Linked DNA regions of Kluyveromyces lactis. The protein of the gene in region 2 purifies or fractionates together with the protein of the main gene of each other region. This does not show direct contact. Links are inferred from orthologs where the notes say so. Each region holds a gene or a part of one and is shown on either strand. Other genes may lie near its edges.

Evidence for each region.
Region 1: the proteins of ATG17 (region 2) and ATG11 purify together in Saccharomyces cerevisiae (affinity purification with mass spectrometry; 4 studies listed by BioGRID, with this or other methods). This does not show direct contact. The link is inferred for Kluyveromyces lactis from reciprocal best matches to the Saccharomyces cerevisiae genes ATG17 and ATG11.

Annotation. Positions count from the first base shown.
Region 1 is NC_006038.1:1,057,103-1,064,165, reverse strand, and holds ATG11 (autophagy protein ATG11), read right to left. Parts: upstream 5,309-7,063; coding exon 2,168-5,308; downstream 1-2,167. Other genes in the region: TAH18 (NAPDH-dependent diflavin reductase), read left to right, coding at 292-2,166; peptide alpha-N-acetyltransferase MAK3, read left to right, coding at 5,773-6,309; POL30 (proliferating cell nuclear antigen), read right to left, coding at 6,396-7,063. UniProt on the Saccharomyces cerevisiae protein: Involved in cytoplasm to vacuole transport (Cvt), pexophagy, mitophagy and nucleophagy. Recruits mitochondria for their selective degradation via autophagy (mitophagy) during starvation, through its interaction with ATG32.
Region 2 is NC_006040.1:230,967-236,156, reverse strand, and holds ATG17 (protein kinase regulatory subunit ATG17), read right to left. Parts: upstream 2,777-5,190; coding exon 1,505-2,776; downstream 1-1,504. Other genes in the region: threonine--tRNA ligase MST1, read left to right, coding at 11-1,396; mRNA splicing protein SPP382, read left to right, coding at 2,991-4,994. UniProt on the Saccharomyces cerevisiae protein: Autophagy-specific protein that functions with ATG13, ATG29, and CIS1/ATG31 in response to autophagy-inducing signals as a scaffold to recruit other ATG proteins to organize pre-autophagosomal structure (PAS) formation.

The DNA.
Region 1 (7,063 bases), on a different chromosome or scaffold from region 2:
TAAAAAAAATTCATTTCAATATGTAACGGTTAGTGATCAATAAGATCTGTGGGTAATTAGTAACCATACAGTTCTTTTTGAACACTATCTAAGAAGAAATACAACGACACTGTCATTAATTCATCGTCTGTTCATCGTTATTATCGCATATCTCTCTTAACAGCAAGATTTCAAGGTGAAAAATACTGAGATAGCTTACATATTACATGTGATGAACATCAAAGATTATATACTGTAAACGATTCAAGACACATTTAAAGCTGCTAAGAAGTATTTCGGACTACTGAAACCATGCAGAACAAGAAGATTGTCATATTGTATGGTTCTGAGACAGGAAATGCGCAAGATTTTGCGCATATTCTTTCTCATAAGTTAAAGAGACTGCATTTCTCACATACATTGATTAAGATCGGTGATTACCATCCGAAAAGCGTTCTGCAGTGCAAGTACCTGTTTATCATCTGCTCTACGACTGGACAAGGAGAACTACCGCGTAACGCAAGAGAGAACTGTAATGGACGGGCTCAGGGGACTCTCTGGCAGTTTTTGAAGAAATCTACACTTCCTGCGGATCTTTTAGATCATGTTAACGTTGCCATGCTTGGGTTGGGTGATTCCTCGTATCCAAGATTCAACTTTGGTATCAGAAAGCTTCATGAACGTATTGTCAATCAACTTGGCGCTAGTGAGATTTTTCCACGCTTAGAAGCTGATGAGTTGGGACTTGCTGGGAGTAATAAGGATACTGGAAATGGAGTTGAATCCGTCTACTATGAATTTGAGAAAAGAATCATCGCCTACATGTTAGAGAAGTACCCCAACAGAAAGCACGATGGCAAAATGATGCCCAGAGTAGGCCTAGCCGAAGATGTTTACTTGAAACCGAGCAATATATTAGAAATATCCACTGTTAATGGATCGACAAATGATCAGCTACCTGATTCTAAGATTCAATTTGTTGGAGATGAGACAATAAGACATGGAACCGTTAAGAAAAACAACCAAATAACTGCTAAAGATCATTTTCAGGACGTTCGACAATTTGTGTTTGAAACCGAGGATCATGAAGCCTATCATCCAGGCGATACAGTTTCTTTATATCCCGAAAATTCAGACAATGACGTTGAATTATTCCTCGAAGCTCAACCTCATTGGAAGAAGGTCGCTGATGAACTTCTTACAATAACAGACCTGGAAAATTGTGATCGGTTCAGAGATGGTGGTGTTGTGAAACCACTTACTCTAAGAACCTTGTTAAAATATCATTTTGATATCGTCAGTATACCTAGGCAGAGCTTCTTCATGAAAACTTGGACTTTTGCAAATGCTCACGAAGATAGACCAACCGATCAAGAGCTATTAGAACAACAGAGGGATAAACTAAGACAGTTCGGGTATGGACAAGACCTACAGGACTTGTATGATTATTGCAATAGACCAAGAAGATCAGTATTAGAGGTTATACAGGATTTTGAATTCTTAAAACTTCCATGGGAGTTCGCATTAGATTATCTACCCATGATAAAGCCCAGATTTTATTCCATCTCAAGTGCACCATCTGATCCTAATGTTGAACTAACTATTGCTATTGTTCGTTATAAGACTTTGTTAAGAAAGGTACGGAAAGGACTATGCACGAACTACCTACTTACATTAACCGAAAACGATACAGTTCGTTATAAACTTCAAAATAATCATTTACTTCATGAAGATATTATTGGCAAACCTATCATCATGACTTCTCCGGGGGTAGGTCTCGCACCAATGAAGTGCTTGATCGAGTCTAATTTATTCAAGGATCAGTACTTATTTTTTGGTAACAGAATGAAGGATAAGGACTTTTTATATGAAGATACGTTATCTATGTGGAAGAAAGAAGGTAAAATTAATTTATTCACTTGTTTTTCGCGGGATCCCATAAATTCTCCTCATGCTAAGTATGTTCAAGATCAGTTGTGGAATCAATCTAGTCTAATAGCAGACCTAATTTTGAAAAAATCTGCCATAGTATATATTTGTGGATCCTCCGGTAAAATGCCAGTTCAGGTTAGGTTGACTATAGTTGAGATCCTGAAAAAACATGGAAACTTCGAAAACGCAGAAGAAGCCGAGCATTATCTAAAAGAAATGGAAAGAACTGACAGGTATATGCAAGAGACATGGTAGTTCAGTCAAGATTGAAAAAAGCGTCAACTTCATACCACACGGTATTTCTTGGAAACTTAAAGGGGTTCTTTGAATCATCTCCAACCACATGCTTTTCCAAGGCCGAGATTCTACCCATTGCCCATTCCCTATCTTTCAATAATTCGTAATTAGACGTTGAGTTTCTAAGAACGTATTTGATATCAGTATTTGTCGCAGTGAAAATTGCCCATACAACATGCTTCTTGGCCGAATCTTGGGTGTTAACATTGAATGTATCCGGTCTGCCATTAGCGTTGAGTGCAGGATTCCTGTTCGCTTTACTTAATGGAATATTTTCTGTGATAGAAGCAGAGCTTCCGTTAAGAATGCTAGCTGCAATATCAGACTTGACAACATTTGGACGTTGCATAACAGACTGTGTAGATGAGTTTAAATCAATGGATGAAAATGAAGAATTTAGCGACGATATTGAAGAATTTAATAGCAATTCCTGATCGTTGATTGGTAAAAAAAGAGCAAGATCTCCCGGTTGGAAGTTATATATTGTAATTTTGTCTCTAGCACTTTTCTGCAAAAGGAGTTTTTTATTCTTGTTCTCTTTCCTAAGCTTTTTCGCCAAACTTTCGATATCATTGAACCTGCGGATCACTGACGTTTCGAACAATTGGTTACCAAATAGTTTTTCTATGTAGGTAATGAAATTTTCATGAGGTTTGTAGTCAATCTGATCCTTTATAGATTCGAAAGTACTCTTTATTTCTTGTGCAATTACACTTTTTGCCATGGAACTATTCATATCAGCCAAACTTGAATCCAGATCTTTTCTTAAACCTTTGACGCGAACAATTTGAAAGTTTCCATCTTGATCTTTGGAAAGTAACAACCCGATACTCGCCAAAATGAAAATACTACCTTGGAAAACATCATATAAAGTTTTTTCCAATTGCTTATTAAAGTTGATAAACTCTGCATCAATTGTTTTGCTTTTTGATATTTGCAATTGGTTAAGATCTTTTTTAAGACTTTCAACTTCTTCTTGCAAGGAAGCCCGTTCCTGTTCTGCTTGAACTTCTTGGGTTGCCATATTGACAAGAAGATCTTCTTTCATTTTGTTTAAATCCTCGGATTTCCGTCGGGATTCTTCAGATTCCCTTACAAGTTCCTCATTTTGCTCAAAGAGGGATCCTAAATGCTTCTTGAAATTCTCCGAACGAGAATTCATTTCAGAATAGAAGTTTTCGCGTTCAATCAACAACGTTGATAATTCTTTGTTTAAATTTGTCATGGATTCTCTGTAAGCATTTTTCTCGACCTCCATATGGGAAAGTTGACTTTTAAGTGTTGAAAGTTCAGTTTCAAGGGTCTTGGTTAATTCAGAGTATTTGCTTATATCCTTTTGCAGGTTTTGAAATTCCTCGAAGGTTTTATTTGATTCGTGTTGTTGTTTGGAACTTGGGAGATCGAATGTTGAACTTTGCTGTAACTTTGTGCTCACGGTACTATTGCGGAACATTTGGACCATTGCAGTTTCCTTATTCAGAATGCCAGCTGGCCATGAGTCGTACTGATGGAACTGTGCATCAAGTAATAAATGTTCTAGCTTTTTGATACGAGCCTTGTATCCTTCAATGATAAGCTCCGAGTCCTTCGAGAGCGCGTAATCTGTAGGTAAATGCAAGCCTGTCAGCTCCGCCTGCGAGACTTTTGACTTAAGTAAATTAATTGTAGGTTCACCTAAGTTCAATGAAGCAAGTTGATTAATATAATCTTTAATCTGAGACAATGTCACCTGTTTATGATCACTTATGGACGGAATGTATACTGATGATGGTAGCAAACTATCAACATCTAGAAATCGAGTTATCCATTGGAAATCTTTGTACCAAGAGTTTCTTTGTCGTACTTCGTCATCCAAAAGATGCTGCAATGAAGATTCATGTTGTTGTCGAAGTTGAGAGTAACGGTCTGTCCAGAGCTGCTCTCTGTATAACTCAATCAAATACAATCCATAACACATAGGCAAATCCAATACTTGAGATAATTTCAGTTCTTCATTCTTCAAAAACTTCATATTGGTCTTAACGTCTTTAGTTAACACCGACTTCACCATTATTACGCTCATCTGCGATTTTGCAACGGAAAGGTACAACTGTTGCAACTTCTGCTGGACAGTAGCTTTTGTATCTAAATTCGTGGAAGCTTTATTGAACATTGCTTGCGAAATTGTTTGTAATTTGGGGACATGTACACTTTTGAATGTTTCAAACTTCTCTTTTGAAGCATCTTTAGAAGCCTCTTCTTTATATTGATTTGATACAAGCTCAATCTCTGTAGCCATTTCTTTAAATCGTTCAACCATTTGGTTGTCCATATCATCAGAACTGACAACTGAATTTTTTTTCACATCATCTAAATCTGAGATTAACTGTGTTCTCTGCTGGTAGCATTCATCAATACTTTTCTTTAACTCCTTTAACTTCGCATTTAGTTCACGATCCAGACGGTGAATGGAATCCTCGATCTCTGTTAGCTCGCTATAATTGAAAAATGATGATAATAACTGATTAGAAACTTTAATATTGCCGAGAATATTATCATAAAAGGAATGCCATTGATTTGAGGCACCATCTTCGTGAAGCTTGTTAAGAAAATCAACGTTGCCATTATACAGCACCTCCACTTCATAGCAGTAGTTTTTCAAATACTCAAGCATAACAGTACCACACTCTAATAACCGTTGAACGTCTTGATAAGTTTCTTTTATAACGTCCTGGAAAAATTCAACGTCTGATTGCAAAGCCTTCAACCACCCTAAATTCCGTAGAATGACATTTTTATCCAACTGTAACGAATCGCTTATCGGCGATGGCAAAGGTTTGAAAAGTTGGAACCTTGGCTTTGGGGAAAACTCGATCTCCTCATTGAATATTCCACGGTCAAATACGTATATTTCTTCCAATCCTTCTTGTTGCAGCTTTCTGGAATCCCATCCTGCTTTCTTCAATATCATTCCATAAGGTAACAATAGAAGTATGTCATCGAGCGGTATCTGGAAAGTATCACTTGCAAACTGTTTCAAATCTAAGAAACTAGGGAAATAAACATTAGATAATTGGTGTGAAACTCCTGATGTAGCACATATCAACTTGCATGGCGGCATTATTAATAAAATTATCAGATTGTAACCTTAAGACTTTGGAAAGAAATAAAGGGACAATGTCGATTTAATGATGATGAAATGGGGGGTGTTAGCTCACAGGATTCTATATCATGAGTATTCTTTAAATGCTGAGATATATCTAATCTGGAGTACTAAAGCCGTAAGCAACAAGTGGAATAAGAGCCGATAAACGTCAGGGGACTGAAAAACTATGTAACAGGTTTTCTCACCTATAAAACTTACCGGGGGGTCCATATAATCTTTTTTCGAATCAGTTTGGTGAAGCAAGAGCACGTGACTGATATGCTTTTATTATAAAAATTTGGTTTTAAACCTCCAGATGATGAGATAAACAGTTTTAAGTAAAGCTTTTTATATTCGCTAGCTTCGGCAGCATCTACTCTCATTGATATAACTAATTAAAAATTAATAAGAAAGTATACTGCAGATAAACTAAGCAAAGGATGGTCGAAATAAGGTACACACGATTCGATATCAGTAATGACATGGAGTTTTCCACCATCAAGAAATTGATCGATGAGGATCTCAGTGAGCCATATTCGATATACGTGTACAGATTTTTCCTAAACCAATGGCCGAACCTAACGTATTTGGCATGGGCAGAAGGATCGGGTAAGCCCATAGGATGTATAGTATGCAAGAGCGATACTCATAATGGAGTGCGGTTAAGAGGATACATTGGCATGTTAGCAGTGGAGAAACAATATAGAGGCCGTGGGATAGCGAAAAAACTAATTACCTTAGCTATAGATACTATGATTGATGAAAAATGTGACGAGATTATGTTGGAGACTGAATGCAGCAATGCAGCTGCTTTGCATTTATACGAGAATATGGGCTTCATCAGAATGAAGAGATTATTCCGGTATTATTTGAACCAGGGAGATGCGTTTAAACTCATTTTACCGATTACAGAGAAAAGTTGTGTGAGAAGCACATTCCTGGGGATGGATTCCTTTCCTACCGACACCATACTCTAAAGTAAATTGAATTGATTTTATATCAGTAATTGTCATTTTAATACACACACAATATATATATATATATAGCATTGCGAAAAGAGATTTCATTCCTCTTCATCGAACTTTGGAGCCAAATAGAATTGCAAATTACCGCTTGAGATATCGAATTGGAAAAGGGCTGGCGCTTCTTCCGATAATTTTATAGTGATTGTATCTGATAGAGAGGACCCCTTAATGATGTCGTTTAAATATTTAGCACCGAACCTTAAATCTACTGGTTTTTCTATGGTAACTTTAATTGAACTTTCAGGATGATCCAAATCGGTGAAAGGTTTCACAACAATGGACCCACTTCCGATATCACCTTCTGCGGCGAATTTGATGGTATCCTTAGTGACTAAGATGTTAATAGAATCACTCAATTGACTTAAGTCACGTACGGTCTTCGCGAAATCAGCAGATGGCATTGTAATATAGGATTCATATTTCATATCAGAGATCTCCAAGAAATCTGTTTCGATTTCCATCAATTTTAAAGAGTATTCACTGACACGGTCTCTTTTTGTATCTTCGAATAAGATTAGAATAGAATCTGGAGAATCTTCAGCGATAAGCGTTAGATTGTCCGAATTGTTACCACAACGAAGAATCTTACTCAAGTTCGTCAAATCGCAACCTAGCACGACATTTCTGTCCGCTCTAAACTCTTCAAATGCTTCTACATTGATGGAAAGAGAGACAAGGAGGACACGAGAGTCATCGACGGCTTGTG
Region 2 (5,190 bases):
GTTCTGAAATATGTTATTAAAGCGAATAAACTACCTACCAGTACGAAATGCGGGCGTACCTTGTCAGTTTGTCAAAAGACTCTGTTCCAATCATAATGAGGGCCCACAAGCTGTCGATAGTGCAGCCACCACTGCACATGAGGTATCGACCAAACAGGAGTTATACATAACAGATCCAATATCACCTGGTTCAATCTTTTTCTTGCCTAATGGTACCAAAATCTTCAATAAGTTGGTTAGTTTTATGAAGCTTCAACAGCAGAATAAATACGGATTCCAGGAGGTGGTTACTCCATTGATTTATAGAAAAACCTTATGGGAGCAATCTGGACACTGGGAAAATTACAAGGATGATATGTTTAGGGTTGAGGGCAATGACGTTTCTAAGGAAGAATATGGTTTGAAACCGATGAATTGTCCCGGGCATTGTGTAGTTTTTAAAAGATTCGACAGATCCTACAACGAATTGCCATTGAGGTTCTCAGATTTCTCACCATTGCATAGGAACGAGGCATCTGGTGCTTTATCGGGTCTAACAAGAGTCAGAAAGTTTCATCAAGATGACGGACATATCTTTTGTACACCTGATCAAGTCCGTCAAGAGATTCAAAAATGTTTGGAGCTGGTGGATATGTGTTATACAAAAGTGTTCCCAATATCGGGTGATTCAAAGCAGGCAGCGTACTCATTGACCCTCTCTACTCGTCCTGAGAAGTACGTTGGCGATATTGAAGTATGGGATCATGCTGAAGATGTATTAAAGGATACTTTGCAATCGTGGGGGCAACCATGGACAACCAATGAAGGAGATGGTGCCTTCTACGGTCCTAAGATTGACATTTTAGTCAATGATCATACAGGCAAATCACATCAAGTCGCCACTATTCAATTAGATTTTCAATTGCCAGAAAGATTCGATTTACAATTCAAGGACAAGGATAATAGTTACAAGAGACCTATCATGATTCATAGGGCTGTTTTCGGTTCGGTGGAAAGATTCATGGCCATTTTAATTGATTCAAGCAAAGGTAAATGGCCGTTTTGGTTGAATCCAAACCAATGTATGGTCATCCCAGTGAAGACTGAAGATGAGAAGATAATGGAATTGGCTTTCAAGACAGTCAACTCATTACGTGGTGAAAATAGTGATCCAAAAAGCCCAATTCCACTCAACAGCTTCCATTTCTCTGTTGATATGGATGCAAGAGATGAATCTGTAAGTAAAAGAATTAGAGAAGCCATCAAGAAGCATTATTCTTATATTATAATGATTGGTGACAAAGAAGTTGAAGCAGGCAAGGTGGCGATTAGAACCAGGGAGTCGAAGAAAGTGGATTTACTAACTATCGATGATGTCTTTGAAAGGTTCGTCGATCTTGAGAAAAATTATAAATGATACCTTGCAATTTTTGAACCACAGAAAGTAATGTTAACCATAACGATGTAAAAGATAATTTATACCTGTAAATATGTATACTTATGTATCAATAATAACACAATACCGTCAATTCGGTACATTATGTATGCTATATTCGAAACTATACATCGATTCCATATCGTCGATATAACCTGGCCAGATGTTTTCGGGAAGATAGTCACCATTTTCAAGTAAAAATTGCTGGCGTTGGTCCAAGTCAGCATCACTCAGTGCCTGTAGTTTCTCCTGACATTCCTTTAATATTTTCTCCATTTGTAACGCAGTGGCTTTCCGTCTGTCTCTTTCTCGTAGAAGGTTTTTATACCCTAATTTGAACTTATCGTAAAACTCACAGAGTTGTTGCACTTGTTCAATCTTTTTTATGCAAGATTCCTTATAAACGAATACTAAATTAGCAATCTTTTGGAAGATAGATAAGTATTCCTCACATTTTTCTAACTCTGTCACAATCTTGGAAGCCAGCAGATGGAATCCACCAATTTTGTCCATTATTTCACTTATTGTTTCATTGACTTTCTTTGAGAAAGCTTTCACTTCAAGTCCCGTTTCGAATACTAATTCCCTTATATTTTCTAACTGTGTATCGTCTTTCTTTACAATCTGGAAAAGTTCCTTCAAATCTGGTAGTGGAATCTGCTGTTCCTTCAATATCGTGCATTTGTCGAAATGATCAGTGATTGATCTCAAGAAATCGGCAAGTTCATTCTCAAATTCGTTCAATTCAGTGACATAATCACTTTCCAACAATTTGAATAGATTATTTTTGCTATCCCTGCTGAAATGTGAATCAAAGTAAGTTCTGAGTTTTTTCAACTTTACAGCCACTAGTTGGTTTTCTATTCGATCTTTTATCGATTTGTAGTGTTGTCGTATGTTTGTCACTTGTTGTTTTATAATAGGAATCTCATCGATTTTTTGTTGTAGTATGTCTACGTGATCCATGCATATGAAATCTGAAAGGCTACTGTGATCGTCAGTCAAGTCGTATTTTGTACCCTGCAAGATCTTCATCTTTGTTGTTATCTCGTTTTGCCAATAACTCACGTCATTGACTATCTCGACTAAAACCAGCTTTGACCATTCATTGTCAATCAACTCTGTAGAAATACATTTCTCGAGCATGATATTCTTGAAGAACTCAACCTGGTTCACCAAACAATTAAGTATAAATTTAAGTTTAAATCTGGACTTTTGAGAGCTGTCCATTTCAGTTCGCACTTTAGAGAGGATTTTTAATGATTCTTCACATTCGACTTGAGCTTCCACAAGCTGGTTTCTCGCCTTATTCCACAATTTATCTATCTCATCACTGGGTATAGTAGTTGCAGCATCACTCATTTCTTGTAGACGCAGTTCAGATCAACCGAAAGATCTTCATCTCTTCAACGTTTCCAATTTGAAACCCTTAAACGGTCAATTTCACTTCGAAGACTGAACTTCAAACCTTTAAATCTTTTCAAAGTATGAATAAATACCTATTAATCGGAGTAAAGATTGAAAGGAGTATCAGTCACTCCAAGTCAGCTATTACTACTCCAGTGATTCAGTATAGATGTCAGAACATATCAGTGACGATGATCAGTTCAAAAGAAGAAAGATCAGTATGACAATGAATAGTATGGTATTTACCGATCCATATGGATATAGCGATGACAATGAAGAACAAAAAGAAGAAGAAGACTATGAACCGGTACGACAAGCCAACTCCAATGATGGATTGAAAAGCGACCAGATGTTAAAGACCTATGGTATGGGTGCCAAGCTTTTATCAAAAATGGGTTACAAACAAGGTGAAGGTTTAGGACGAGATGGGAAAGGTATAGTGAACCCAATCGAAACAGTCACTCGTCCTAAAGGTGTCGGATTAGGGATGTTAAGTGCAGTACATGATAGAGATGACTCCAACTATAGTAATACTTCAGCATCATCAGATGAAAGTTCAAATAAAAAGAAAACAGTGGAGTTTAAGACTCGTCGTGCCACCCAGCTTGAGAAATTGATTCAAAATATAAGTCTCCTTGCGGAATTAAAAATAGAACTACCTGATACGGTGACAAGAACAATCAATGGTTCTGAATTACATGAAGAAGAGATTTCCTCTTTGAATGAAATTGCTAATAAGCTTCTGCAGCTTCATTCGGACATAGATAGAATACAAGTTGGCTTGGAAAAAGCTCAACTAGATGACGAGCGCAAAGTACACCAAGAGGAAAGGCTACAAAGTGTTTTAGAAAAAGTCAAGGAAAAACAACTTTCGCAACCAAGTCTTGAAGATCAGATTACTGAATGCCTAGAAATAAATGACGATGACATACTTGATAAGCTCTGTACCATGTTCTTGCTCAAAGAGCTTAATCGTGGAATTAATACGGCAGATATGCAGGTCGAAAAGTTGAACCATTTGAGGGCAGCAATAAGGTTTCTTTCATATAGAATGGAATCTGGATATATTTTGAACGAAACACAAAGCAGCATTTATAGGTTGGTGTATCAACCCTTATGTTATTGGTTAGATTCAAATACCGGATATTCGAGGATGCTACGTCAAATAACCGTTCAGTATTTACCTATTATTGACTTTATTAGCTGCAGGGAACACTTCCTTTCCCGCTACATTATGCCGGCTCTCGAAATACAACTTTCTCCTCAATTTCTGTCAGATGAATTCATGGTGACATACGGCGAGTTGCATCTCATTTTGGGAGAAAGGGATTTAAAGTCATTAAAAGCACTTATCCTGCTGGAGTTCGAGCAGTTTTTGAAAAATTGGGAACCTTCAATGACTGTTAACCCTCAAAACGTTATTCTCTTGAAGGAGGCAGTGGGTGACTCCAAGTTTTATGAATTAGTCAACAGGTATTGGCTTTCATCTTTCGCTGATTACTTCGATTCACACTTTCACCTGATTGACGAATTTACCGATGCAGAGAATGAAATTTACATTTCAGCTATTATTGATGTGTTGAAAGAATATAATGATTTCTTCGATTTGCCAACCAGGAATAAAGTATATAAGGTCATTAACAACTCGCTATTAAAGACCTTATTCCAATGGTTTGTGTTTAAGAGCAGCACCTTCCGTTATGAAGCTTCTTCATGGCTAAAATACATGATTAATAGAATTTACACTGCATCTTCATTAGATAATGTAGAAGAAGTGAAGAAACTTCTTGACTTTGTCGATCATCCGTCAACACTTTCGGACCATGACGAACGGCTTTCCTTGAAAAGTTTAATTGAAAGCACTGGCCAGTCGGAATCCAGGTTCAACGCTTTTAACAATACACCCATGACCAAAATTTCTACCACCTTTAAAACTGTTGTAGAAACTTTTTGTCATGATCATGGATTATCCTTCAGAAAAACTGATAATGATACTGCCTCAATTAATATATTTGGCAAAGAGAAGGTAGCTCCGGTATTCACTGTGAGTAAATATAACAATAAAAGAGTAAATGTAGTCCTTATGGGAGATATTTTATGGTTACAAAGGAGAAACAGAACAGAATCAAGATTTGAGCCAATTTTTCTCTACCAATTACTGGATCTAATTTGAAAACAGAATAAGCATGGCATATCATTAGGAAAATGTCTTTATGTAGTGTTTATACACGCTATCAGAACATTTCATTGGATTTTTGTTCGTTTTCACATTGCCATTATGTCGAATGGAATTGTAGAATGTAATAAGAATGTATGTTAATTTTTTTTTTATTGGACAAAGAAGGCGAGTTCGATGAACAGGTCAGTTC